7 linked regions of the Ovis aries genome follow. The protein of the gene in region 7 binds, or shares a complex with, the protein of the main gene of each other region. Links are inferred from orthologs where the notes say so. Each region holds a gene or a part of one and is shown on either strand. Other genes may lie near its edges.

Region 1 (3,500 bases), on a different chromosome or scaffold from region 7:
AGGTGGTAATGAGCATAATGTGAATCAGCGAAAAGACTGTATAACATTTTTCCTGATATCTGATTATCTGATCTTTGTAACTTTGCACATGTAAAACATTTCTAGAACATTGCATATACCATTTGATTTTAAAACATTTTATTTTAACAATACATAGAATTTATATTAATTTACTTGAGCCACTATAACAAAGTACTTCTGACTGGGTGGTTTAAACAGTAGCAATTTATTTCTCACAGTTCTGGAGGCTAAGAAGTCTGAGATCAAGGTACTAGCATTCACCACCTGTGAAGGTTCTCTTGCTGGCTTGCAAATGGCTGCCTTCTTACTGTGTCTTCACATGGTGGAGAGAGAGCGTTTTGGTGTCTTTTCCTCTTCAGTATAGTCACATTGGAGGTTAGAGTGTCAACATGAACTCCAGGAGAACATAGTTCAGTCCAGGGCAGAATTCATTTTAAACTGTACGCAGTAGACCTTTGTAGCACAAACTGCATGCCTTAATAAGAAATCACAAAATGCATGCCATAACACGGGGAAATGAAAGAAACAACATAAAATATGTTAGAAAAAGATGTAAGTTTTAATCAAGAATAGGTCAATGCTTTGTTAACTGCCAACACAGATCTAAAAAGAAAGAGTTAATGTTATATTTACGATATTAAGGATAATGGTGGGTTCAAGTAAAGGCTAAAAGCTGGGTTGTTTATCAATCTTATGGTATCAATATTATGTTCTCTTAGTAAACATCAGTAGCTCTTAAAATATGTGAATTTTTAAAAAATTCACATTTATACTAAAAGGATAGAGTGTCTGGAATTTCCTTTAAGTTTATACTGGGCTACTATATGACTCTTGAGAAAAATATTTGAACTGTTTGCTTTAATTTTCACATGATAATGGCCTTTAGAGCACATGAAATAGTTTTGAAAATCTCAAATGTCACTGTTAGACTATTTTATATTTTACAAAATTGAGATATCTTATAATTTTAGAGCCTCCATCTGTTAGGAAGCATTCCTTTATTATTTGGTTAACAGAATAGCTCTTGTGATGATTCCTTTCTAAATTGAGATTTTTGCTTATTTTATTCAGGTAATACAGATAAGTTGGTAAAGTTTTAAATTAATTTTATTTAATTTGGGCTGTGCTGGGTCTTCGCTGCCGTGTGGGCTTTTCTCTAGTTGCGGTGAGCAGGGGCTCTCTTCCTTTTCAGTGCATGGGTTCAGGAGTTGCAGTGGCCAGGCTCCAGAGTGCAGGCTCAGTAGTTGTGGCCCACCGGCTCAGTTGCTACATGGCATGTGGAATTTCCTGGGACCAGGGATCAAGCCTATGTCTCCTTCATTGGCAAGTGGATTCTTTACCACTGAGCCACCAGGGAAGCTTGCTAAATTTTTCAGTTAGGTCATTTTGAATACAGTGTACAGAGTTATGATCTTTTGAGTTTAGATCTCTTGAGAAGAATTTATTAAAGGAAAAGAACTTTCTTTCTGAAAAGCATTGATTATAAAACATGTCTACATTAAAAGCGAGTCTAGTATCTGCTCTTCTGTTGACTAAGAGACTGGTGTAAATGTTAGGTAGCCCTACCCTAGTAAGAAAACCACCTTAGAATGGCTTGCTCTTGCTTTTTTTTGAAAACTACCAAATGGAACCAGTGCCAGTTCAAAGAAATTTAAACTTAAAACTTTAAAAAGCATAGTAAAGCACCTAACACCATCACACTAGCTTCCTTGAATTAAACAAATAAGAAAACAGTTGTTTCATGACATTCAGAAAAGGATCGAGAAGAGAATAGTTGAAGCTTCTGAAGTGAAGTGCAAGTTGCACAGTCATGTTCGACTCTTTGCAACCCCATGGACTGTACAGTCTATGGAATTCTCCAGGCCAGAATACTGGAGTGGGTGGCCATTCCCTTCTCCAGAGGATCTTCACAACCTAAGGATTGAACCCAGGTCTGCTGCATTACAGGCGGATATTTTACCAGCTAAGCCACAAGGGAAGCCCTAACCATTAATTCAGATTTTAAAATGTGGCTTATTTTTTAAAGTGATAATGAAAGTCACTCAGTCTTCTCTGACTCTTTGTGAACCCATAGACTATACAGTCCATGGAATTCTCCAGGCCAGAATATGGAATGGGTAGCCTTTCCCTTCTCCAGCGGATCTTCCCAACCCAGGAATTGAACTGGGGTCTTCTGCATTGGAGGCAGATTCTTGACCAACTGAGCCGCAAGGGAAGCCCATTGAAGCCTCTATAATGACTCAAAAGTAGTTATCCTGGAGAAAAAAGAAATAGATGGTTCTGAAAGCTTGGAAGGAAAGTTATGACCAACCTAGATAGCATATTCAAAAGCAGAGGCATTACTTTGCCAACAAAGGTCTGTCTAGTCAAGGCTGTGGTTTTTCCAGTAGTCCTGTATGGATGTGAGAGTTGGACTGGTGAGTGCAGAAGAATTGATGCTTTTGAACTGTGGTTTTGGAGAAGACTCTTGAGAGTCCCTTGGACTGCAAGGAGATCAAACCAGTCCATCCTAAAGATCAGTCCTGGGTATCCATTGGAAGGACTGATGTTGAAGCTGAAACTCCAGTACTTTGGCCACCTGATGCGAAGAGCTGACTTATTTGAAAAGACCCTGATGCTGGGAAAGATTGAGGGTAGGAGGAGAAGGGGACGACAGAGGATGAGATGGTTGAATGGCATTGCTGACTCAATGGACATGGGTTTGGGTGAACTCTGGGAGGTGGTGATGGACAGGGAGGCCTGGTATGCTGTGGTTCATGGGGTTGCAAAGAGTTGGACACGACTGAGTGACTGAACTGAACTGAACTGAACTGAAAGCTTAGATGGCTTTGAGGGATGAGAAGAATAGGGAAATGTCTCAGAAATCCATTCCCCTTGAGTAACCTTGCTCAGTGTAAGTAGGCAACTTTCCACAAAAAATTTGTGTTTGAGTGTATTTAGAAGACACAGGTGAGTAAAGTCAAGATTAGTAGATTGAAGGAACTGTAGATATTGGATTTGATTATATGTGAAAATCAGTAGAAGTTGTGTGGGACCTTGTTTGTTAGCTGATATATGAAGGGCCTTATAACTGAGGACATTCACTAAATCTTTGTTTTTTTAATGCTTCAGGATGAATTCCATTCACGGTTGCGTTTTAATCGTAGAGGACTGGTCGCCATGGCAAATGCTGGCCCTCATGATAATGGCAGCCAGTTTTTCTTTACCCTGGGTCGAGCTGATGAACTTAACAATAAGCACACCATCTTTGGAAAGGTTTGTATCCAGTTATCTTAGGTTTCTATGATGTATGTGATCAACTTACCTAAGAGCTGCCTTCATAAAAATATTCCCAATGATATTTATTTATTATTTCTAAAAATGGTGAAATGCTCTGTGTTCCTGTTATAGTGAGCTGTGAGGGACTACCTGAATTTTTGTCTGTGTGTTTCAGTCCAGTCATTGACTTTTAACTTAAAATTTTTATTTTTTCTAAAATT
Region 2 (4,010 bases), on a different chromosome or scaffold from region 7:
TCACTGCAGGATGATAACTGCAGCCATGAAATTAAAAGATTCTTGCTCCTTGAAAGGAAAGCTATGACAAACCTAGACAATATATTAAAAAGCAGAGATATCACTTTGCCACAAATGTCTGTATGGTCAGAGCTATGGTTTTCTCCATAGTCATGCACAGATTTGAGAGCTGGACCATAAGGAAGGCTGATCACCATAGAATTTATACTTTCTAGTTGTGGTGCTGGACAAGCCTCTTGAGAGTCACTTGAACTGCATGGAGATCAAACCAGTCAGTCCTAAAGGAAATCAACCCTGAGTGTTCATTGGAAGGAATGAAGCTGAAGCTCCAATACTTTGGCCACTATATTCAGAGAGCCAAGTCAGTGGAAAAGACCTGATGCTGGGAAAGACTGAAGGCAAAAGGAAAAGGAGGTGGTAGAGGGTGAGATGGTTAGATGCAATCACTGACTCAACGGACATAAATTTCAGCAAATTACAGGAGATAGTGGAGGATAGAGAAGCCTGGTGTGCTACAGTCCATGAGGTCGCAAAGAGTGGGACCTGAATTCGCGACTCAATAACAACAAAAGTTAAGCGAACTGGCGCTACGAAAATTGACATTAAGACACAATGACAGAAAATTTTAAATATCTGTTTATCTGATATTATTTAAGATTGATATATTACATTGCTTATCTGACATTATAAGGCTGGGTTATTTGCTAGTACTCCGATGATTTATTTTCACTTTTTTCTGTTATCTGGCTTTAAAATTCCTTCAGTCACTTTCATTTATAAGCCATAGAATTATTTGGTCACAACTGTCCGGAAACCAAGGGGCAGTTGACCATTCGGGCCTACAAAGCCCAGAATGCACCCCAGCTCAGGGCGGCCGAGGAGGTCAGCAGCTTGCCGCTAGGTATGCCAGGAGGTAGTTTTCTACCCCACCCCCGCCCTCGAGCGTCCGCACGGTAGCCGGGTTCCTGTCCCCTTGCGGGATACCGCGATTTCACGGATCCACCCGTCCTCGCACGGTCATCCTAATCCCAGAGGCGATCTGAGGATGTGCCCCTGACGGCCCGGATGCAGCCAGCACTCCTCACCTCACCTGCAACTCCCGAGTCCCAGGCTCCGAAGAGGACGCGCAGCCCGGTTACCACAGAAACGACGTTGACTCCGTCACGGCGCGGGAAAGAGGTCAAAGGTCGCCCCAGCCAGTTCCGCTTCCGGTTCCGGGATCCCGCTTGTTGTCGGAAAGTTGCGCGGTGTGGGCGAGCCCTCGGGGAAGGTTCTGTGGTCCCGGGCTCGCCCGCGGTCGCCGCTGCAGCCATGGCGGCTTCCACCGCTGCCGGGAAGCAAAGGATCCCCAAAGTGGCCAAGGTGAGCGGCTCGGGGCCTTGTGGGAGGAGGCCGGGGATGGGGTTGGCCCGGCCTTGGTGGTGCCTGGGGCGGGAGGCGTGTGGTCCCTGGGGCGGGAGGCGTGTGGTCCCGGGAGCTGGTCCTCCCTACCTGAGCGGGGGCCGCGGGCGGGGAGGGCCAGCCGGGGATGGGGGTCACCTCCGCGTCCGCGTGGTCGTCGTGTTAAAAAGTGTTTATCTGGGGGAGGAGAGAGGTTCTTCAGCACAGACACGCTGAAACAGACACTCGCTAGTCGCTGGGGCTCCGGGTAGAGCGGGCTACGAGCTACCCTGCGTAAGGGTAGAACTGCAGCCTTGCAAAGGCTCCTGAGCCCCAGAGGAATAGGCCGTGGCTTCCTGGGCTCGTGTGAGGGGTCTCCAGCGCAAGAAGTGATGATTAAGCTGTGCTGAAGGCTGTAATAGGAGTCAACCCCGGGTGAGAGTGGAAGGAGTGAAAAGAGATGACAAGGGCTGTATTTTGGTTGATCTCACTTTTTCCGTCGGCGGTTAATACTAAAGTTCAGTTCAGTTCAGTTCAGTCACTCAGTTGTGTCCGACTCTTTGCGACCCCATGAATCGCAGCACGCCAGGCCTCCCTGTCCATCACCAACTCCCGGAGTTCACTCAGACTCACGTCCATCGAGTCCGTGATGCCATCCAGACATCTCATCCTCTGTCGTCCCCTTCTCCTCCTGCCCCCAATCCCTCCCAGCATCAGAGTCTTTTCCAATAAGTCAACTCTTCGCATGAGGTGGCCAAAGTACTGCAGTTTCAGCTTGAGCATCATTCCTTCCAAAGAAATCCCAGGGCTGATCTCCTTCAGAATGGACTGGCTGGATCTTCTTGCAGTCCAAGGGACTCTCAGGAATCTTCTCCAACACCACAGTTCAAAAGCATCAATTCTTCACAGTCCAACTCTCACATCCATACATGACCACAGGAAAAACCATAGCCTTGACTAATGGACCTTAGTCGGCAAAGAATGTCTCTGCTTTTGAATATGCTATCTAGATTGGTCATAACTTTTCTTCCAAGGAGTAAGCGTCTTTTAATTTCATGGCTGCAGTCACCATCTGCAGTGATTTTGGAGCCCCCCAAAATAAAGTCTGACACTGTTTCCACTGTTTCCCATCTATTTCCCATGAAGTGATGGGACCAGATGCCATGAACTTCGTTTTCTGAATGTTGAGCTTTAGGCCAACTTTTTCCTTTCCACTTTCACTTTCATCAAGAGGCTTTTTAGTTCCTCTTCACTTTCTGCCATAAGGTTGGTGTCATCTGCATATCTGAGGTTATTGATATTTCTCCCAGCAATCTTGATTCCAGCTTGTGTTTCTTCCAGCCCAGCATTTCTCATGATGTACTCTGCATATACGTTAAATAAGCAGGGTAACAATATACAGCCTTGACGTACTCCTTTTCCTATTTGGAACCAGTCTGTTGTTCCATGTCCAGTTCTAACTGCTGCTTCCTGACCTGCATACAGATTTCTCAAGAGGCAGGTCAGGTGGTCTGTATTCCCATCTCTTTCAGGATTTTCCACAGTTTATTGTGATCCACACAGTCAAAGGCTTTGGCATAGTCAATAAAGCAGAAATAGATGTTTTTCTGGAACTCTCTTGCTTTTTTGATGATCCAGCGGATGTTGGCAATTTGATCTCTGGTTCCTCTGCCTTTTCTAAAAACAGCTTGAACATCAGAAAGTTCACAGTTCATGTATTGCTGAAGCCTGGCTTGGAGAATTTTGAGCATTACTTTGCTAGCGTGTGAGATGAGTGCAATTGTGCGGTAGTTTGAGCAGTCTTTGGCATTGTCTTTCTTTGGGACTGGAATGAAAACTGACCTTTTCCAGTCCTGTGGCCACTGCTGAGTTTTCCAAATTTGCTGGCATATTGAGTGCAGCACTTTCACAGCATCATTTTTCAGGATTTGAAACAGCTCAACTGGAATTCCATCACCTCCACTAGCTTTGTGCGTAGCGATGCTTTCTAAGGCCCACTTTGACTTCACATTCCAGAATTTCTGGCTCTAGGTGAGTGATCACATCATCGTGATTATCTGGGTCATGAAGATCTTTTTTGTACAGTTCTTCTGTGTATTGTTGCCACCTCTTCTTAATATCTTCTGCTTCTGTTAGGTCCATACCATTTCTGTCCTTTATCGAGCCCATCTTTGCATGAAATGTTCCCTTGGTATCTCTAATTTTCTTGAAGAGATCTCTAGTCTTTCCCATTCTGTTCTTTTCCTCTATTTCTTTGCATTGATCGCTGAAGAAGGCTTTCTTATCTCTTCTTGCTATTCTCTGGAACTCTGCATTCAGATGCTTATATCTTTCCTTTTCTCCTTTGCTTTTCGCCTCTCTTTCTTTTCACAGCTATTTGTAAGGCCTCCCCAGACAGCCATTTTGTTTTTTTGCATTTCTTTTCCATGGGGATGGTCTTGATCCCTGTCTCCTGTCACGAACTTCATTCCATAGTTCATCAGGCACTCTATGTATCAGATCTAGTCCTTTAAATCTATTTCTCACTTCCACTGTATAATCATAAGAGATTTGATTTAGGTCATACCTGAATGGTCTAGCGGTTTTCCCTACTTTCTTCAATTTGAGTCCAAATTTGGCAATAAGGAGTT
Region 3 (4,157 bases), on a different chromosome or scaffold from region 7:
GGGTGGTGTTGTAAGCCAGGCTGGGGCCATCACCCGAGGAGAGTGTGAAATAGAGGAAGCGGCGGGAGGAGACCTAGGAGGTCTGGGGAGGAGAGGACCCAGGAGAGGGAACCCAGAGAGCACCGTCTCTGAAGAAACCCGAAAACAGAGAGTGGTGTCCCAGACACCGAGGAAGGGCTTCAGAGGGAGAGCGGTGGTCCGGCACGCCCCAGGAAGCGAGGACAGAGAGCTGACCCCCGGATGGAGCCGCCCCCGGAGTTGAGGGATCCCGACAGGAGCAACGCGGGCAGACGCTGACTGAAGCGGGGTCAAGGGGAAGGCAGAAAACCACAGGGGATCGTCCTCATCTCGCCATTCAGACAGCTCAGCTCAGCCGCCTCTGACCCTGTGACCCCATGGATCGCAGCATGCCAGGCCTCCCTGTCTATCACCGACTCCCAGACACCCTGGAATGTGAAGTCAAGTGGGCCTTAGAAAGCATCATTACGAACAAAGCTAGTGGAGGTGATGGAAGTCCAGTGGAGCTGTTTCAAATCCTGAAAGATGATGCTGTGAAAGTGCTGCACTCAATATACCAGCAAATTGGGAAAACTCAGCAGTGGTCAGTTTTTATTCCAATTCCAAAGAAAGGCAATGACAAAGAATGCTTAAACTACCGCACAATTGCACTCATCTCACATGCTAGTAAAGTAATGCTCAAAATTCTCCAAGCCAGGCTTCAGCAATACATGAACCGTGAATTCCCTGATGTTCAAGCTGGTTTTAGAAAAGGCAGAGGAACCAGAGATTAAATTGCCAACATCCACTGGATCATGGAAAAAGCAACAGAGTTCCAGAAAAACATTTCTGCTTTATTGACTATGCCAAAGCCTTTGACTGTGTGGATCACAATAAACTGTGGAAAATTCTGAAAGACATGGGAATACCAGACCACCTGACCTGCCTCTTGAGAAATCTGTATGCAGGTCAAGAAGCAACAGTTAGAACTGGACATGGAACAACAGACTGGTTCCACATAGGAAAAGGAGTACATCAAGGTGGTATATTGTCACCCTGCTTATTTAACTTACATGCAGAGTACATCATGAGAAACGCTGGGCTGGAAGAAACACAAGCTGGAATCAACATTGCCGGGAGAGATATCAATAACCTCAGATATGCAGATGACACCACCCTTATGGCAGAAAGTGAAGAGGAACTAAAAAGCCTCTTGATGAAAGTCAAAGAGGAAAGTGAAAAAGTTGGCTTAAAGCTCAACATTCAGAAAACGAAGATCATGGCATCTGGTCCCATCAATTCATGGGAAATAGATGGGGAAACAGTGGAAACAGTGTCAGACTTTATTTTTGGGGGCTCCAAAATTACTGCAGATGGTGACTGCAGGCATGAAATTAAAAGACGCTTACTCCTTGGAAGAAAAGTTATGACCAACCTAGATAGTATATTCAAAAGCAGAGACATTACTTTGCTGACTAAGGTCCATCTAGTCAAGGCTATGGTTTTTCCTGTGGTCATGTATGGATGTGAGAGTTGGACTGTGAAGAAGGCTTAGCGCCGAAGAATTGATGCTTTTGAACTGTGGTGTTGGAGAAGACTCTTGAGGGTCCCTTGGACTGCAAGGATTTCCAACCAGTCCATCCTGAAGGAGATCAGTCCTGGGATTTCTTTGGAAGGAATGATGCTAAAGCTGAAGCTCCAGTACTTTGGCCACCTCATGTGAAGAGTTGACTCATTGGAAAAGACTCTGATGCTGGGAGGGATTGAGGGCAGGAGGAGAAGGGGACGACCGAGGATGAGATGGCTGGATGGCATCACTGACTTGGTGGACGTGAGTCTGAGTGAACTCCGGGAGATGGTGATGGACAGGGAGGCCTGGCGTGCTGCGATTCATGGGGTCGCAAAGAGTTGGACACGACTGAGCGACTGAACTGAACTGTCCACTGAGGGAGGTCCCATGCCCTCCAGCCATCTCATCCTCTGCCGTCCCCTTCTCCTCCCGCCTTCAATCTTTCAGGGTCTTTTCCAATGAGTCAGCCCTTCGCATCAGGTGGCCAAAGTATTGGAGCTTCAGCATCAGTCCTTCCAATGAACACCCAGGGCTGATCTCCTTGCAGTCCAGGGCACTCTCAAGAGTCTTCTCCAGCACCACAGTTCAGAAGCATTGATTCTTCGGCGCTCAGCCTTCTTTATACTCGAACTTTTACATCCACACATGTAAAAACCAAACCATCGGAAAAGACTCTTGGAAAGGACTCTTGAGAGTCCCCCGGACAGAAAGGAGATCCAACCAGTCCATCCTAAAGGAAAGCGGTCCTGAATATCGTCTGGCGGTTAAGAAAATCAAAGAAATTCGACGGTAGCTCGGGGGCCCAAGTGGGTTTAACTGGAAGATGCTGGAGCTCGGGAGCGGACTGGGGGACGAGGGACGACCACCGCGCCCGAGGAGACGCCCCCAGGGAAAAGCTGGCGAGCCTGAGGAGCCGAGGGGACTGGACCCCCGAGACCCGCGCCGGAGGGGGAGCCCGCGGAGGCTTCCGGCGAGGCGGCGTCGGCGGGCCGGAGAGCGCGGGGCCCCGGAAACCCGCGCGGAGCGGCGGAGGCTTCCGGGGAAGCGGCGTCTCGGGAGCTCGGGGGCGGGGCGCGGGGCGGACAGGCCCGCTCCCGGCGGTGGCGGCTCAACTCACATCTTGTCCTTCTGGTGCTGTCGCTTCCCCATGGCGACGGCAGGGTCAGCGAGCGCAGAAGACGGGGGAAAAGCACACCTCCGACCGCGGCGTCTCGGACGAACTCCGTAACTACTTCCGGGTCTCGCCGAACCGCCCCGGAAGCAAGCGCTGAGCACGCCGGGAACTGTGGTCCCTGGCTGCCCCCGCCCCCACCCCGAGTGCACGCCCGCCGGGCGCGGAGGCTCCCCGCGCCCGGGGGCTCCCCGCGCCCGGGGGCTCCCCGCGCCCGGGGGCTCCCCGCGCCCGGGGGCTCCCCGCGCCCGGGGGCTCCCCGCGCCCGGGGGCTCCCCGCGCCCGGGGGCTCCCCGCGCCCGGGGGCTGAGCAGTTTCGGCGTCGAAGCCTCCCCGTCTCTGCAGCTTTCTGTGCACCGCCTACCTAGCCTGCCTGCCTGGTCGCAGCTCAACGCCATCCCATCCCAAACCCGCCCTGGTCTGCCCTGGCTTCTCAGGTCTTCCGCTTGGAGCCCGGAAGTTCCCCCGGCCTTGGCCCCATCTCTGCCCCAGGCCGGCACCTCCAGATGGACACCCACATTCGCTATCCGCCCTCTCACCGCTCACCGGGACCGCACTGCCTGCAGCCCCCTCTCCTGGGCTACCCAGGGGCAGGTGGCCATCAAGCCCAAAGGTCCAAAGCCTTCGTGATCCCTTCGGCCTCTTCCCTCGGCCGGACCACCACGTTGGGGTGCCCCAGGCCAAGCCTCAGACCTCCCCCTACACTCAAGCACTGGGTGACCTTGCCCGGGCTCGCGGCTTTAAACGCCTGTATCGCTTGACTCCCAACGCTAAATGGCCAGCACTCAAGACTCCTGCCCTCTACTCGGGCAACCCAGTGAACTCGAATTCAGTATGTCTGCTAAAGCAGAATTCTCCTCCTCCCCCTCTAGGGTCCACTCTCCTCAGAGTACCACTATCCAGCCAGTCACCCCATACAGCTACAAGGGCTTGTTACCACTTGTAATCCTGTACTAATCCATCTGTGTACTGTCTAGCCACACATGCACGCACGCACGCACGCACACACACACACCCTCTCTCTCTCTTCAGGGAGACATGGCTTCCCCAAGAGCCAGGACCCCAACTGCTCGTCTGCTATCTCCAGTCACAAGCAAAGTGCCTGCGAGCTGCGTGCTGTCCCTTCAGTTGCGACTGACTCTCTTCCACCCTTCTGGACTGCAGCCCGCCAGGCTCCTGTCTGTGGGCTCTCCAGGCAAGAATACTGGAGTGGGTTGCCATGCCCTCCTCCAGGGCATCTTCCCAATCCAGGGATGAAACCGGTGTCCCTTGCGTCTCCTGCATGGACAGGCAGGTTCTTTGCCACCTGGGAAGCCCCAAGCAAGGTGCAGGGCATACCCAAGAGCTCAAGCAACATCTGCTCTACCGGCCAGCATCATCGGACACTTTGTGAGGACTCACATCTCACATGCAGGTCGA
Region 4 (4,058 bases), on a different chromosome or scaffold from region 7:
ATCCAATTAATTGTACAAGTATGAAGCAGAACCAGAGGCCAGACAGCAGTCAAGCAACAAGTTCTGCTTATTTAAAATTAAGCAGACACCAGTGACTTTCTCAAGCTGTTAGCAAAAGAAAAAAAAAGCAGAATACAATTTGCATATTTCTTAGTTTGCAGATCTTTTAAAATAACATTATGAGATAGCACCAAGAAAAGAGGGTACCTTTGCTTGTTCTCCACATCTTGAGTTTTCATCTGCCTGGAGTCCTTGATAAGCCTAACCTGTATTCATGTCTTGCAGAAGGTCCTAGCAAAGGTCACTCCTAATTAGTTGATCTGTAACAAGCATGGACCTGATCTTCTAATTTGAATGCCCCACCCCACAAGCGCCCACACACACCTTGCATTATTTTTGGCTCCATATAACTTAGTATTTTATATTTTTATCTTGTCTCTGTCAGGCTGGTCCCCACCCCCAACCCTCTGCCACTGTAAATTCAGTAAGCGATTTGTTTCTGATTTGTTCCTTGCTATATCCCTGGGTACTAAAACTGTGCCTGGCCCACACTGAAAGTGTTGGTCGCTCAGTTATGTCCGACTCTTTGTGACCCCATGGACTGTAGTAGGCCAGGTTCCTCTGCCCATAGAATTCGCCAGGCAAGAACACTGGAGTGAGCTACCATTTACTCCTCCAAGAGGGTCTTCCCCACCCAGGGATAGAACCTAGGTCTCCTGCATTGTAGGCAGATTCTTTCCTACCTGAGCCACCGGGCATTTTGCTGCTGCTGCTGCTAAGTCGCTTCAGTCGTGTCTGACTGTGTGACCCCATAGAGGGCAGCCCACCAGGCTCCCCCATCCCTGGGATTCTCCAGGCAAGAACACTGGAGTGGGTTGCCATTTCCTTCTCCAATGCATGAAAGCGAAAAGTGAAAGTGAAGTCGCTCAGTCGTGTCCGACTCTTCGCGACCCCATGGACTGCAGCCTACCAGGCTCCTCCATCCATGGGATTTCCCAGGCAAGAGTACTGGAGTGGGGTGCCATTACCCACCTGAGCCACCAGGCACTTTAGGTTCTTAATATAGTTGAATGAAATGAATGGGTGTAATACTCACGAATGATCAACAGAGGGCAACAGAAATTCAGTAGGGGAAGAAATGAAAATGTTTTATTCCGAGCTTCGCGTACAATTACGCGAGATTTGAACTCGCTCGGCCACCGTAGTGCATAGGCCGGAAAAGAGCAGCCACTTCCGGCCTCAGCGGTCCAGGAAGATTGTTTTGGACTATCGGAAACCGAACCCCTCGGTTCTCAGGCAGCTCCATTCCGGAGCAGAGGCTCCATCCTGGAGCTCTAGGCCCCCGACCCGCCCGGCCGCCGACGTGGCAGCTGGAGACACTTTCAGGGCCGGGAATAGGGAGCGTGTTGTCGCCATGGCGACACCGGCGGGGCTGGAGCGCTGGGTGCAAGACGAGCTGCACTCGGTGCTGGGACTGAGCGAGCGGCACGTGGCCCAGTTCTTGATCGGTACCGCGCAGCGCTGTGCCTCGGCAGAGGAGTTCGTGCAGCGCTTGCGAGACACCGATACCCTGGACCTCAGTGGGCCGGCCCGGGACTTCGCCCTGAGACTCTGGAACAAGGTGCTGGGAGAGGCGGGACCGGGCGTGGGAGCGGCGGGAAAGTGGGTGGAGCAGGGGAGGGGCCCCCAGGTTACTTGTCCAACGGAGTTTGGGCTCACTTGGGCTAACTGTCCAACGGAGAATTAAGCTCAGTTTGCAAGCAGTTATCACTTTCGGGCTGGACGACCACTTCCGTGGAGAAGGTTGAGGAGGGCTTAAGGGTTGACTCATTGGAAAAGACTGATGCTGGGAGGGTTTGGGTGGGGGCAGGAGAAGAAGGGGACGACAGAGGATGAGATGGCTGGATGGCATCACGGACTCAATGGACGTGAGTCTGAGTGAACTCCGGGAGTTGGTGATGGACAGGGAGGCCTGGCGTGCTGCGATTCATGGGGTCGCAAAGAGACGGACACGACTGAGCGACTGAACTGAACTGAACTGAACTAAGGGTCTACAGAGCAGTGTTTCTCAAACAGGTTTAGGATTCATCCACGGCTTTTGTTAAAATGAGGATTCCGATTCGGTAGGTCTGGGATGGTTTCTTCATTTCTTCATTTCTAACAAATCTTGTAAGTTTTCGGGTGATGCTGGGTGTTGCCCACCCTTCGAAGAGTGAGTCTATAGAAGAGATGTGTGGGCAGTGTTGTGGGAGGGTAGAAGTGGTGTGGCTGTGATCGAGAAAAGCAGGCCCAAAGATTATCTGGAGTTTGTTGGGTAAAGAAAGGGGAAGAGTAAAGGTGTAATGGTGAGCTCCTGGAAGGCAAGACTGTGATTTTTGTCTTTGTATTCATACCATCTAATTGTAACCTGCAGAACAAGAGCTCAGAAATTATACAGTAAGACTAAAAGTGTTGAACTTGTTCATGGCAGATAACTTGGTGTGGCTGTCCCATTTGCACTTGGTGAAAGATGAGAACGTACTTGATGTGAGGGTAGGAGCTCTGTGTTAATCCGTTCACCAGGGTATCTCTGGAGGCCACTACAGTGCTGGCCCGTGACAGGGCTCTGCAAAACAATCTGGACAATCCTTGTCCAGTCCTTGGGTAGGAATGACTTAGTCATCGGGAAGAACAGAGGCTGAGCAGTTGAGAATTGAGTGTGAGAATGTAAAGTCCATGAGGGCAGAAAGTTTTATCTCTTTACCCCTATATCTCTAGTACCTAGCAGGGGGTGCATGGGATAGGCTTAGGAACTGAGAGACCCCATTCGGGCTGATGGACATGGTGTGAAGCCTTGGGGAAGAGACAGAATGACAGCTGGTTTAAGATCAGTTACTCCTTAAATTAGGAACTGGGCAGAGTAGGTGGGCAGAGATCAGGAGTTGCTTACATCCCCTTGACTTCTCTCTCTCCCGACAGGTCCCACGGAAGGCAGTGGTGGAAAAGCCAGCTCGGGCAGCCGAGCGAGAGGCCCGAGCCCTGCTGGAAAAGAACCGCTCTTATATGTTGTTGGAGGACAGTGAGGAGAGCAGCGAGGAGACTGTGGGCAGGGCTGGGAGCAGTGTCCAGAAGAAGCGGAAAAAACGGAAACACCTCAGGAAGAAACGTGAGGAGGAAGAGGAAGACGAGGAGGAGGAACAAGTTTCTGAGAAAGGAAAGAGGAAGACAGGGTAAGTCAGAAGTAGGGGGCGAGAGGGTGATGGAACAGGAAGCCTCTGAGTGCCCTCAGTTAATCCTCCGGGGTGGGCTGCAGGGAGAAGAAAGAGCAGACGGAAAAGCCGGAGTCGGAGGATGAGTGGGAGCGGACAGAGCGAGAGCGCCTTCAGGACCTGGAGGAACGCGATGCATTCGCTGAGCGGGTTCGGCAGCGGGACAAGGATCGGACTCGCAACGTCCTGGAGCGGTCAGACAAGAAGGTGCATTGGAGCAGCACTTCCCATCAGTCCCCAGGCAGACCCCTGGATCCGATCTGAGGTTGGGTGTGACCGCAGATAGTGATCTCTGGGAAGACAAGGAGCCGCCTCCAGTAGTCTGGTCATCTCTTTGGGTCTTTGGGCTAAGGTGGCTCTCTGCTGAACCTGTAACCACAGAGATTCCTCAGTGAAGGGGGTACATTTCTTTGTGCTAGGGAACATCTGAGTGATCCTTGTGATTCTAGACAGGAATGGCTGTGGGCACGGGGACTTTGACCACTCTTGCCTTCTCCTAGGCTTACGAAGAGGCTCAGAAGCGCCTCAAGATGGCTGAGGAAGACCGGAAAGCCATGGTGAGTCCGTGTGCCCAGGAAGACAAAGGGAAAGGCTTCCTGATGGAGTGGTTAGGGTAGGGAGGAAAGATGCAGAGGAGGTGTGGTGGGGCTGTTGGGTCTCTGGTTGAGGCGCCAGCTAAGGATAGACTTAAACTGTAGTGGGAAGGAAGTGGCCCAGAAACCCTCTGACTCCTTAGGATCAGATCAGACTGTATGTTAGTGAGGGAAGTATTTCCCTGTTCCTGGGACTTAAAGAGGTGTACTCAAAAGG
Region 5 (3,500 bases), on a different chromosome or scaffold from region 7:
ATAGACATGGGCATGCAGCAGGTGATCAGTAAAGTGCTGATCCTTCTTTCTTTCTGGTGCTCTTGCTGCTTTTGATAAGGAGCACAATGGCATGGATTAAATAGCTCACAGGATTTCATTTTGATGTGGCATGGAATTATTCAGTTTGCCTTTTGAGAGAAGAGTGGGTGCAAACTGAATTGCCTAAGTTAGATATCAGTGGGAGCTTCTCATGGAGAATTCCATACAAGTAAGGTTTGGGGAAGAGCACTGGATTGGGATTAGAAGTTCAGGGTTCTAGCCTGTCTCTTCGTTTTAGTAGCAGTGACCCCTAGGTAGGAGACCACTCAGCTTCTTAGGGTCTCTGTTTTCATGTCTGTAAAACAAGGGTACCTGCCCTGCTTGCCTAACAAGATACAACATGAAAAATACATTTAAAGTGCCTTGCAGATTATGACCTGTTAGGCAAACGTGAGTGGTTTTTCTTAGGATATTCATGAGTGCTACTTTATTGCCCTGAAGTAGCTGTGCGTATCTTTTGGGCTTTCTTAGTAGTTTTGAGATGTATCCTGCTGGGGTGTTTTTTGAAACTTTGGTTGTAGGGGTGGCAGAGCATTTGTGGGAATCTGATTCTTTGCTATTTGTGTTTAGGCCAGAGTGAAGATATACCCTCACACAGACAGTTCTGTCATGACATCCCGGACTCATCTCCTCCTAGGAAGGTTCGTCATGACACCCCAGATCCATCTCCTCCTAGAAGAGTTCGTCATGACACCCCAGATCCATCTCCTCCTAGAAGAGTTCGTCATGACACCCCGGATCCATCTCCTCCTAGGAAGGTTCGTCATGACACCCCGGATCCATCTCCTCCTAGGAAGGCCCGTCATGACACCCCGGATTCATCTCCTCCTAGGAAGGTTCGTCATGACACTCCGGATTCTTCCCCTCCTAGGAAGGTTCGTCATGATACCCCAGATCCATCTCCTCCTAGAAGGACCCGTCATGACATCCCAGATTCATCTTCTCCTAGGAGGACCTACCACAGTTTCTCAGATCTCTCTCCTGCCAGAAGGGCCCGTAATTGCTCCCCTGACACAGCTCAACCTAGAAGGACTCTTGACTCTGTGGATAGATCACAGCTCAGGAGGGCCCATCATAATTCCACTGACTTGGCTGCTAATGTTCCTCACTCACTGCTCAGAACCAAAAGCAGTGAAGCCCCAGAAAGCTCTAGCAAAACTTCTCCACATTGGAAGGGGCCAGGACCTTCTCATCCATCACTCCCAAAGAATAGCAAATATGAGTATGACTCAGACCTCTCTCCTTCACGAAAAAAGCAGGCAACATCCCATGTTGGAAGTAAGCAACATGATTCTAAAGGTGAGCATTTGTCCATGAGAGGGACTTGTTCCTAGAGTGCTTTCTTTTGGAACTTTTAGTTGCTTTACTAGGTATTTGTGGTCTTTAGAAATGAGAATGGAGCTTTGGAGTTTTAAAAACTGGAGGGAAATAGTGAGAGATTGGGCTGAAGAGAGTTAAAAATTAATAGTAGTAGGGTAGAAGTTTATATATATATTTTTTTGTTCATTTTCCCCACCCCATGAAAATACTACATGTTTGTTGCAGAAACTTTGGAATGTATAGAAATGTAGAAAAGGATCACACACAATTCTGTCCAGTCAGAGGCAGTCTCTCTCTTGTAGCCAGTGTTCTTTTAGTCTTCTTTTCTAATCATTTTTGATGTAGTTTGGACGTGTCTAGGCAGTAAGTAAATATTGCATGTGTAATCTTGCTTGCTTTTTTCACTTAGCATTATCTTTCCTGAGTCATAAAATATCTCTTTGTTAATATAGTTTTTGTTGGTGTTCCAGTAACCATTCCCCTAATATTGCATATTTTAGGTTATTTCTAAACCTTTTCCTCTGTAATTCTGTAATGAACATCCTTATACACAAACTGTTGCTCTGTTCTGGATTTCCGTATCTATTTCTAGATAGACTTTCTGGGAATTGAAGTGCTGCTAGATACGTTTCCTAGGGTACAAAGTAGAAATTGATTTGCTGGCTCAGCCGGGTTCTTTGCTTATAGGACTGTTGATAGGTATTGCAGATTGCCTTTGGAGGAGGTGATTTGTGATGCCTATGTCTACAGCTCACCTGTGTGATGAAACTTGTTTGCTCCATCGTTTGTCCCTAGGTACTGCTTTAGTTTTTAATTCAAATACATTGTTATGTTTTAGTCAGAAGACCTCAGAATATATTCTGTGTGTGTGTGTTAGTCACTCACTTGTGTTTGACTCTTTCTGACCGTAGCCCACCAGGCTCTTCTGTCCATGAATTCTCCAGTAGAATACTGGAGTGAGTTGTCACTTCCTCCTCCAGGGGATCTTCGTGACCCAGGGATCAAAGCTGGGTCTCCTGCATTCGGGCAGATTCTTTACCATCTGCGCCACCAGGGAAACCCAGAATATATTCTAATATATTCTAGGTCATCTTAACTTGCTAGGGCTTCCTGGGTGGCTCAGATAGTAAAAGAATCTGCCTGCAATGTGGAATACTTGGGTTCAATCCCTGGATCAGGACGATCCCTTGGAAAAGGGAATGGCAACCCACTCCAGTATTCTTGCCTGGAAGATTCCATGGAAGAGGAGCCTGGAGGACCACAGTCCATGGGGTTTCAAAGAGTCGGATACGACTGAGCGACTAACAACGCCACTGAGCCCTGAGTTCAGTTTGTTTTGGCCACTCTATGTGTGGGTAAATAGGGCACAGATGAGGATGTTGAGATGTCTTGTGCTAGTCACAGTAACTAGTGCTAGTAACTAGTAACTTGGGAATAGAACCCCACCCATTGGTTTTAAAAGTTATCTCTGACTTTGCTCTTCCCCCTTGTCATTTATACTTACGTTTAGGTTAGTGATAGTTCCTCACAAGAGGACTAAATGAATGTTGAACATTAGCCTGGTACATTATTTTTTAGATTCTGCCAAGGGGATTAAAATCTTTACTCTTCAATTTCTAGGCTCTTCCCCCACCCATAAGAAACATCATACAAGCTCTCCACCCAGGAAACATCAGAGTCACACATTGGACTCTTCTTCCTACCCAGGGGACAGTAGGAAAACCTCTGATTCAGATCTTTCTCCTCCACGGCACAAACAGAGTTCAGGGCCCCAGGATTCCGATTCCGATCTGTCACCTCCGCGGAATAGACCTAGGCATCGGAGCTCTGATTCTGACCTCTCTCCACCAAGGAGAAGGCAGAGGGCCAAATCTTCTGATTCTGATCTGTCTCCACCTCGAAGGAGCCAGCCTCTGGGAAAGAAGGTAAGAACTTTCAGGAGCCATGTCTTGGTTTAGAGGAACTCATCTCCTAGCTCTGTACAGGTCTCAGAGATCCAGGCCAGAGAAATCTAGCTCACAGGACCTCTAGAGCGCTTTTCTTCTCTCTGAAGGCAAGACTGTCTGACTCAGTCCAGGGGAACTTGCAAGGAGCAGATTTCCTAAATAGCATCTGCCTTT
Region 6 (3,500 bases), on a different chromosome or scaffold from region 7:
TGTGGAATAAAACTGAAACTCAAAACACAAGCTTTCCCTGCCGCCACCAGCTGTTCTCATTCAAGTGCAGCAGACAGCTCTCTGTTCCTGGAACATACACCTCTCATATGTCTGGTTTTTCAGCTCACACTTTGCCTTAGAATACCCTTTCTTTCTGTGACCTCTCAAGACTCACCTCAAACACCACTGACTCCATGAAGTCTTCCACAATCCTTCCCAAGGAAAATAAATGGGCTCTTCCTCTGTGTTATCCTGGTTTTTCACTGGCACTTCTATGACAGTATTTCTGTAGTAAGCTGCTAAAAGTGGAAGTCTTAAAGGACAGACACATCTTATCTGTATACTTTCTGAACAGTACCTAGTGCAGAACTTTGCAGAACATGCGCTCAAAAACTGTTGGTGAGATAAACATACATAAGACTTCAAAATCCTTTAATCCCAAAATATCAATCACAGATACCAGTATTTAAGGGTTTAAGAGAAAGATTACTCCCCTCAAAACATGTCCTACTATAGTAAGCAGTTTTGTAAGTTAAAAAAAATGGGGTGTGTTTTAATAGAAGTGGCAAATCATTCTGTTTAGGATAGTTACAGTCAAAAAACTCACATATGCTTGATATCTACATCTTACTTCCTAGGATCTCAAACTGTTAATTTTAGAAATAAAAACATGGGGAAGGACAGTTCATTGTAAAATATGAAAATGCAATGATTCAAGCATGAGTTTTTGCTTTATATTCCTAGCCAGAGCACAAATGACTGGATATTCTCATCAAGGCCAAGCTAAAACGAAACAAAAAAACAAAAACTGCAATGACAACGAACACATCAAAATCTCTTTCTCTTAATAATTTCTGGCTTCCAGCTGACTGGATGAGTTTCTTCTGTCTAAAAACAGAAAAGTAAGTAAGTTAAAACAAAGTATTACTGATCTCCTTCATATTTAATAAGTTCCTTTCTAACAAAAATAAGGCACTTATTCTAAATTATATTACTTGGCATTACACATTTAGCAGTTCTTTAACAATTTTAAGATAGGTGACGAACTTCTGGCACTATCTGATTATTTATTATATAATAAATATTAAGATAAATAATATTTAATATTTAATAAAGGATGAATGCATTTGCTACAAATTCAGTTTATGGTGTTTCATTTTAAATCTAATGGTTTTTAGATATTCTAGTAATACCTAAGATTCTGATTCTAGAGTTAATTTGCATAGCAATCTATTTTTTTGCTGTTATTCTTAGGATAAGATTTTCTTAATAACTCTAATAAGCAAAGTTGAGATACAATCAAAATTATCTACGGATTTGCTGTCATCAATAAAACCAATGCAACAATCTACGAGCAGACACTATTCAACATGACAAATATTTTAGTATTATGAAGATTATTTCCCCTCCTGATAATTTCAATAGTTTTAAAATGAGAAAATGCCTGGAAAATTGGCAAAGCTGATTTTTTCTACTTTAAAATATCTATGAAATACAGAACTTACCGCTGTATCATCCTCTTTGTACACTTTTATGGTTTTATCAGCTTCAGCAGTTAGTAATCGACTTTCAGACTGATCAAAAGCACAAGCAAATATTCCTGACTCACTGTCCAAAGACCCAGGCTGCACTGCTGCATGAACCCTCTGGAAATTGTAGCCAGTTCTCCAGTCCCAGAGATGCATAGTGCCATTGTCAGCTTAAAGGGAAAGACAGGTTAGACCAAGTGTCCCCTCAACAGTTCAGCCTGACAAACACTTATTAAGAACCCATCATCAGCCAAGCACCATGGAGTTATAAAGACACACAGGCACTTGAGCTCCTCTTAATATCAATTTGTCTACTTTCATTTGTGCTTAATTCATAATTTATTATAGATCTCAAAAAGCACCACAAAATGACATTTAACTTCAAAACACACAACCAAACTTTAGGTGATTTCTGGCATAAATCCTTAACTTAGATTTATCAATGCGGGAACTTAAAGAGAATTGACCTATGAAATATGCTATATGTATTATGAATTTGCATGAATACACATGTTAAACAGGCAAGTTCTATTCTAATACGTCAGTGTAATGACTTAGAAATTTTACTCACTTAAAAAAAAAGATAGACTAAAACATATTTATCATAAAAATACTTTACCTCCAGATACAAGCACTCCATCAGAATTTACTGTCAATGTGTTAATAATAGCATTGTGACCAGAAAGATTTTGAATGAAACTTCCATCTGGGAATTTCCACTGTTTTATGTTATCTGGAGAACCAGATGCAAATGTGTAACTGAAATAAGAAAAGAATTAATAATAAAGCAAACAAAGTTAAATACAATGGTGGATTTTTAAAAAATCTTATTATGGCTATATTTTGCATGTATCATCAGGATTTATGTAGTTTTGGCAAAATATTATCGTCATACCAAGATAAAAATATCAAGATAAAAAGATCTGTTCCAAGTTATATCAGATTTCTAAATTACTTTAAATGTATGATAAGTCCTAGATTGAAGTTATATTCTCCTCTCATTTCCCCAGTGCTCTACACTGAGCTAAAGCAATAAACATATAACCCCCTAAACTCACATGAAGGGCAAGGGGTGATTTAAGTGTTTTGGAGAAAACGAGAAAGCCAGAAGAAGGGAGAGAGAAGACGTGAGAGAAGGAGAGAAAGAGGCAAGAGGAAGAGAAAAGGGAGTCAGGGAGAGGAAGAAAGGGAGTGAGCGAGACAGGGATCGGAAGGAGGAGACAAGATAAATGCAGGGAGGGTGAGGAGGGAGGATAGGCAGGAGACCTTGGGAGTACCAGGGGACACGGTTTTATAGACAGCAGGTTGTGATGTTATGCTACATCTCTCTGTGAATGATGTTCATGATACCTACTATTTTTTTCCTATGTATATTAATTTCTTCATGATGAAATTAACTATTCTATGTTCAGTCCAGTGTCCAATAATATTTTTGTCCAAAACTTTAAATCTAGCAACTATTAGCTTCCATTACAACATGCAGCCTGTCACCATGATTTATTTATATTATCTCATTTGACATAATTTTTCACTATGTAGAAAGTTTTCCTCATCTTATGGAGGACAAGAAAAATACTTCACAAGGAAAATAAAGGAAATGCAAGCTCATAAATGGAACAGGTCGGAAAAATGACTAAATGACTACCAAAGTAGTACTAATTTTGCTATTTCTAAATTATACTAAGAATTGAAGGAAGAAGAGAAGCTACTTAGGAAAACAGACTTACTGTCTTGGATGTAAAACCACAGCTCTGACTGATTTTTTGTGATTTGTTAATGTGACTCTTGTTTTTCCAGCCACCAAATCCCATAATCGTATTGTAGTATCATGGCTTCCTGTAAGGAGAATCCCCAAAATACAGACCAGAAAAAAAGAATGCAAAAGGTAAATATAATAAAACCTGAAGCATTCTTCTACAGACACATATATATAAAACAAAAGTCCTATCAACCTTTGACTAACTGCTTTCT
Region 7 (3,449 bases):
ATGTAACCTTATCTATTTTGGCTGTGCGGGTCTCGGCTGCCGCACAGGCTCTTCTCCAGCCGTGGTGCATGGGCCGCCGACTGCGTGGCTCCGAGCACTGTGCCGACCAGGCTCCGGGCGCGCAGGCTTCAGCAGCTGCGGCGCGTGGGCTGTCGTTGCCGCTCTTTGGCTCCACATCACAGGCTCAGTAGCTGTGGGCTCTAGAACTCGGGCTTAACTGCTCCGTGGCACGTGAGATCTTCCTGGACCAGAGACCAAACCCGTATCTTCTGCATTGGCAGGCGGATTCTTTACCCCTGAGCCACCAGCGAAGCCCTATACTCAAGTTCTTACATAAATCAGAGTGTGCCCAAAAGCCAAACTTTAAAATGGTTTTTAAAAATGGTTTAAGATTATTCTTGAATCTGGACACTGCCTAAAATGGATTTTATATGCTCTTAAGGTGAGCAAGTACAAATGGCTCATTTAGTAAATGCGGTTTAATGTCAGCAAATCTAAAATTTCAGAGGCAATATTTTATTTCAAAAGTAATAAATAATATGGTCACATAGTAACTGGTGAGAGTTACAAGGATAGCAACCCTTAAAATTCTTATTAAAAAAACCTAAAATTATTTCACAGTTGGTCTTGCATATATTTCTCATGATTGCATGTTTTTCAATAACCTATTAATCTACATTAAAACTTAAATACATAGTAACTTACCAAGTGATAGAACTTCAAGGCTGAGAAAAAGCACTAATCACAAAGAATTTCAATTAACAGTTAACCTAACAGTCCAGAAAGAAATGTTGTCAATGAGAGAAGTCCTAATTATTAAATAAGATAGCTGTGTATTTGTTTAAAGACTAACATACACCTAGCTTCACTGAAACACTTCTGAAAAAAAATTATACATACATATTTTGTTAAAAACATAAAATAAAACTTAAAATAATTCCTCTACTTAAAAAAAAGCAAGACTCCTAAGAAAAGTTTATAATATCTCATTAACAAAGCAAAAACCTTAAAAAGGTTCATCTATTTTGGTCTTCAGTTACAAATAAAAAGTCACTAACAATTCATTATAATAATCCTATAAACAATCAGAAACATTATCAGAAAAAAACTGTTGATAAAAAAATCATCAATTCAATGAACATTTTGATTGTTTTATTAATAAAATATAGGCAAGAATTATAACCCTCTCTGGTGAAACTTCTCAAATAATTTTTTGTAGAAGGCCTTGAGATGTATCAGTTATAAAACATATTAAAAAGAAAACATTTTTAATGTACAAATACAAACCAGTACTTTATACAATAATTCTCTACAAAGTTTGTCAATCGATGTAAAAAATAATTTGTTTCAACTGAATATAAGGCATGTTCAGTTTCTATGATTTTGCAGAATTATTTTTTTTGCTTTGTTGGAGACTTTTCTCTTCGCCGGTCCTGATTTTTCTTCGATTCTCCGGATTGTTCAGAGTATCGGCTAGATTTTTCCCATTGCCTCTCAGCACCGTTCTGATACCTATCTTCATCGCTTCTCGAACCTGAATGTTTTTTATTTTTTTCTCTTGACTTGGATCTGTCCTTCCTTCTAAAATTCTCACTGTCCCTATTTCGATGTCTGTGCTCACTTTCAGAGAAAGAATTTCCCCTCTCCCGTTTCTTTCTGGGATCTCCATGAGTATGTTCCAAACCCATGCGTGCTTCTTGGTCTCTGTCACGCACGGCTCTGCTGTGGCTGTTTCTCTCAGGAGGAATCCCTCTGTCTGAAGTGTATTTTGTTCCAGAGCCTCTTGAATCTCTCTCTCTGGGTTTCTCTGACCTCCTTTCTCTCTCAGTCCTTGTCTCCTGGTGCCGATGCTCTGGCCTTCTTTCTTCTTGTTTTCTATCATTCATTTCTTGTTTCCTGATCAATTTATCTACTTCTTTACTTCTGTGGTTCCCATGCCCCTTCTTTCTTACATTTTTAGCTGCATGTGTAAAATGAAATATAGTTAGTCAGCTTATATTTTAATCTTAATTTCACAACTGAAAAAAAATCTTATTTATTTATACATTATAGGTTTGTTTACTAATTCAGAAAAACTGGATAAAGAGTCAAATTGACTGAATGCAAAATCTGGTGACAGAACAGTATACAAAAAATGTAATTTTTAAGAATATACAATATATTAGTTACTGAAGTAACTGCTTTGATCCTTAAAATAAATAAATGTTTAAAATAAGGTATATAGCAAATGTAAAAGTTTTAACAAAGTGATTAAAGTGGTACATTTCCACTTACAAATTTTATCCAAAACATAAATTTCAGCCCATATCTATTATGTCATATGAAACAGAATGCCAGAGATGATACATAATTAAAATATAATGATCCTACATGCCAGCAACATTACTTCCTAAAAGGTGGGTTGAATGGGATGACTGGGTTTGTGTAAAAACAGGAATACATATTTTTCAAATACAAACCTCTGTCTACAAAAATAAGAGTCCTGCTACCAGAGAAGTAGTAACTATGCAAAGAGAAACTATGTTGAAATCTAATCATAGGCTTTATGAGAGCTGCAAAGGCTTGATTGCTAAGAAAACTCTTCTAAGGCCTCGAAACTTTTCTTTTATCAGTTTGTCCACAAATATAAATATCACTTAGAATGAACTATCTTACCCATTTTAAGCTATAAAACACACTTAGCCACTTTGTGTTATCTGCTTCGGGCACATAACCAAAAGCACTGAGATGACCACAATTTCCGTCAAAGTCGGAAAGCGGCCTATCTTCGTCCTGCCTCCACTCAAATGTACCAGCATCTATTTCTCCTGCCAAATCCCTACCCATGGCAAACCCACGGGTCCTGGGTGCCACAAAGGACCCGTTTCTCTGGTTCCTATCAAGCAGTCCAGCTGAACTACAGCCACCCAAGCAGAAACCATCTGGCTCTGTGCAGAATCAACGCCTCTCTGACCCTTCTGTATCCCACACTTGGTGCTTCCTGACACCAAAACCTGAGCCTGACAATAATATGCACTTTCCTCTCTCTTTGGTGTTTGCTTTACAATTTTCTAATTTGGTATAAGTTCATACTGCTTTTATGCTATTTAATATGTTATTAATAAAACTGAAAGCTCTCTACTGAAATTGTATGATGAGGCAAATTAATTTTGAATCAGCAAGCTTCCTTACTGCAGCAGTTCATGCTGTGTTATCATCTGTTCTCAAAACAGATACCATGAAATAAATTCTTTAGAGGTGAATGGTAAATGAACAATGTTAGTATATTTCAACTTAAGAATAAAACTTCCTGTGAGTAAATGGAGTCTTGCTCTAACAATATAAATCACTGAGTCCCCTAATTCTGGATGCCACATAGTATGTAAAACACTCTGAAGAGAAACAAGTGTGTAAAGACTAGCCTCACCAACCTACTAAAAAGGCTGTGAAGAGAAGTGCTGCCTCTCTGA

What was found.
Region 1: the proteins of CWC22 (region 7) and CWC27 are in contact, whole or in part, in a crystal structure (PDB 6YVH), measured with the Homo sapiens proteins. The link is inferred for Ovis aries from reciprocal best matches to the Homo sapiens genes CWC22 and CWC27. Residues at the interface, in NP_001362958.1 of Homo sapiens: Leu239, Arg242, Lys243, Tyr245, Arg246, Asn248, Asp249, Lys250, His270, Glu271, Val272, Leu275, Glu276, Thr279, Leu280, Leu281, Glu283, Arg284, Thr286, Asp288, Ser289, Val292, Val307, Ser308, Pro309, Arg310, Gly311, Thr367, Met369, Leu372; in NP_005860.2 of Homo sapiens: Arg381, Glu382, Asp383, Gln384, Thr385, Leu386, Leu388, Leu389, Phe392, Lys393, Lys395, Leu396, Thr397, Ile400, Glu412, Asp415, Asp416, Glu417, Gly418, Trp419, Met420, Ser421, His422, Val423, Leu424, Gln425, Phe426.
Region 2: CWC22 (region 7) and CRNKL1 share a complex: the UniProt entries of both Homo sapiens proteins name them as parts of the minor spliceosome. The link is inferred for Ovis aries from reciprocal best matches to the Homo sapiens genes CWC22 and CRNKL1.
Region 3: CWC22 (region 7) and PPIL2 share a complex: the UniProt entries of both Homo sapiens proteins name them as parts of the minor spliceosome. The link is inferred for Ovis aries from reciprocal best matches to the Homo sapiens genes CWC22 and PPIL2.
Region 4: CWC22 (region 7) and DHX16 share a complex: the UniProt entries of both Homo sapiens proteins name them as parts of the minor spliceosome. The link is inferred for Ovis aries from reciprocal best matches to the Homo sapiens genes CWC22 and DHX16.
Region 5: CWC22 (region 7) and BUD13 share a complex: the UniProt entries of both Homo sapiens proteins name them as parts of the minor spliceosome. The link is inferred for Ovis aries from reciprocal best matches to the Homo sapiens genes CWC22 and BUD13.
Region 6: CWC22 (region 7) and PLRG1 share a complex: the UniProt entries of both Homo sapiens proteins name them as parts of the minor spliceosome. The link is inferred for Ovis aries from reciprocal best matches to the Homo sapiens genes CWC22 and PLRG1.

The regions. Positions count from the first base shown.
Region 1 is NC_056069.1:14,808,222-14,811,721, reverse strand, and holds part of CWC27 (spliceosome-associated protein CWC27 homolog), read left to right. Parts: intron 1-3,132; coding exon 3,133-3,276; intron 3,277-3,500. UniProt on the Homo sapiens protein: As part of the spliceosome, plays a role in pre-mRNA splicing. Probable inactive PPIase with no peptidyl-prolyl cis-trans isomerase activity. As a component of the minor spliceosome, involved in the splicing of U12-type introns in pre-mRNAs.
Region 2 is NC_056066.1:39,182,176-39,186,185, reverse strand, and holds the start of CRNKL1 (crooked neck-like protein 1), read left to right. Parts: upstream 1-1,210; 5' UTR 1,211-1,311; coding exon 1,312-1,362; intron 1,363-4,010. UniProt on the Homo sapiens protein: Involved in pre-mRNA splicing process. As a component of the minor spliceosome, involved in the splicing of U12-type introns in pre-mRNAs.
Region 3 is NC_056070.1:72,136,005-72,140,161, forward strand, and holds the start of PPIL2 (RING-type E3 ubiquitin-protein ligase PPIL2), read right to left. Parts: upstream 2,801-4,157; 5' UTR 2,717-2,800; coding exon 2,685-2,716; intron 1-2,684. UniProt on the Homo sapiens protein: Has a ubiquitin-protein ligase activity acting as an E3 ubiquitin protein ligase or as an ubiquitin-ubiquitin ligase promoting elongation of ubiquitin chains on substrates.
Region 4 is NC_056073.1:27,451,663-27,455,720, forward strand, and holds the start of DHX16 (pre-mRNA-splicing factor ATP-dependent RNA helicase DHX16), read left to right. Parts: upstream 1-1,258; 5' UTR 1,259-1,414; coding exon 1,415-1,621; intron 1,622-2,958; coding exon 2,959-3,209; intron 3,210-3,292; coding exon 3,293-3,455; intron 3,456-3,748; coding exon 3,749-3,805; intron 3,806-4,058. UniProt on the Homo sapiens protein: Required for pre-mRNA splicing as a component of the spliceosome. Contributes to pre-mRNA splicing after spliceosome formation and prior to the first transesterification reaction.
Region 5 is NC_056068.1:27,154,194-27,157,693, reverse strand, and holds part of BUD13 (BUD13 homolog), read left to right. Parts: intron 1-630; coding exon 631-1,359; intron 1,360-3,000; coding exon 3,001-3,305; intron 3,306-3,500. UniProt on the Homo sapiens protein: Involved in pre-mRNA splicing as component of the activated spliceosome. As a component of the minor spliceosome, involved in the splicing of U12-type introns in pre-mRNAs.
Region 6 is NC_056070.1:3,083,558-3,087,057, reverse strand, and holds part of PLRG1 (pleiotropic regulator 1), read right to left. Parts: intron 3,366-3,500; coding exon 3,257-3,365; intron 2,289-3,256; coding exon 2,149-2,288; intron 1,700-2,148; coding exon 1,428-1,699; 3' UTR 889-1,427; coding exon of another isoform or gene 829-888; 3' UTR 1-828. UniProt on the Homo sapiens protein: Involved in pre-mRNA splicing as component of the spliceosome. Component of the PRP19-CDC5L complex that forms an integral part of the spliceosome and is required for activating pre-mRNA splicing.
Region 7 is NC_056055.1:130,122,429-130,125,877, reverse strand, and holds the end of CWC22 (pre-mRNA-splicing factor CWC22 homolog), read right to left. Parts: intron 1,961-3,449; coding exon 1,392-1,960; 3' UTR 501-1,391; downstream 1-500. UniProt on the Homo sapiens protein: Required for pre-mRNA splicing as component of the spliceosome. As a component of the minor spliceosome, involved in the splicing of U12-type introns in pre-mRNAs. Promotes exon-junction complex (EJC) assembly.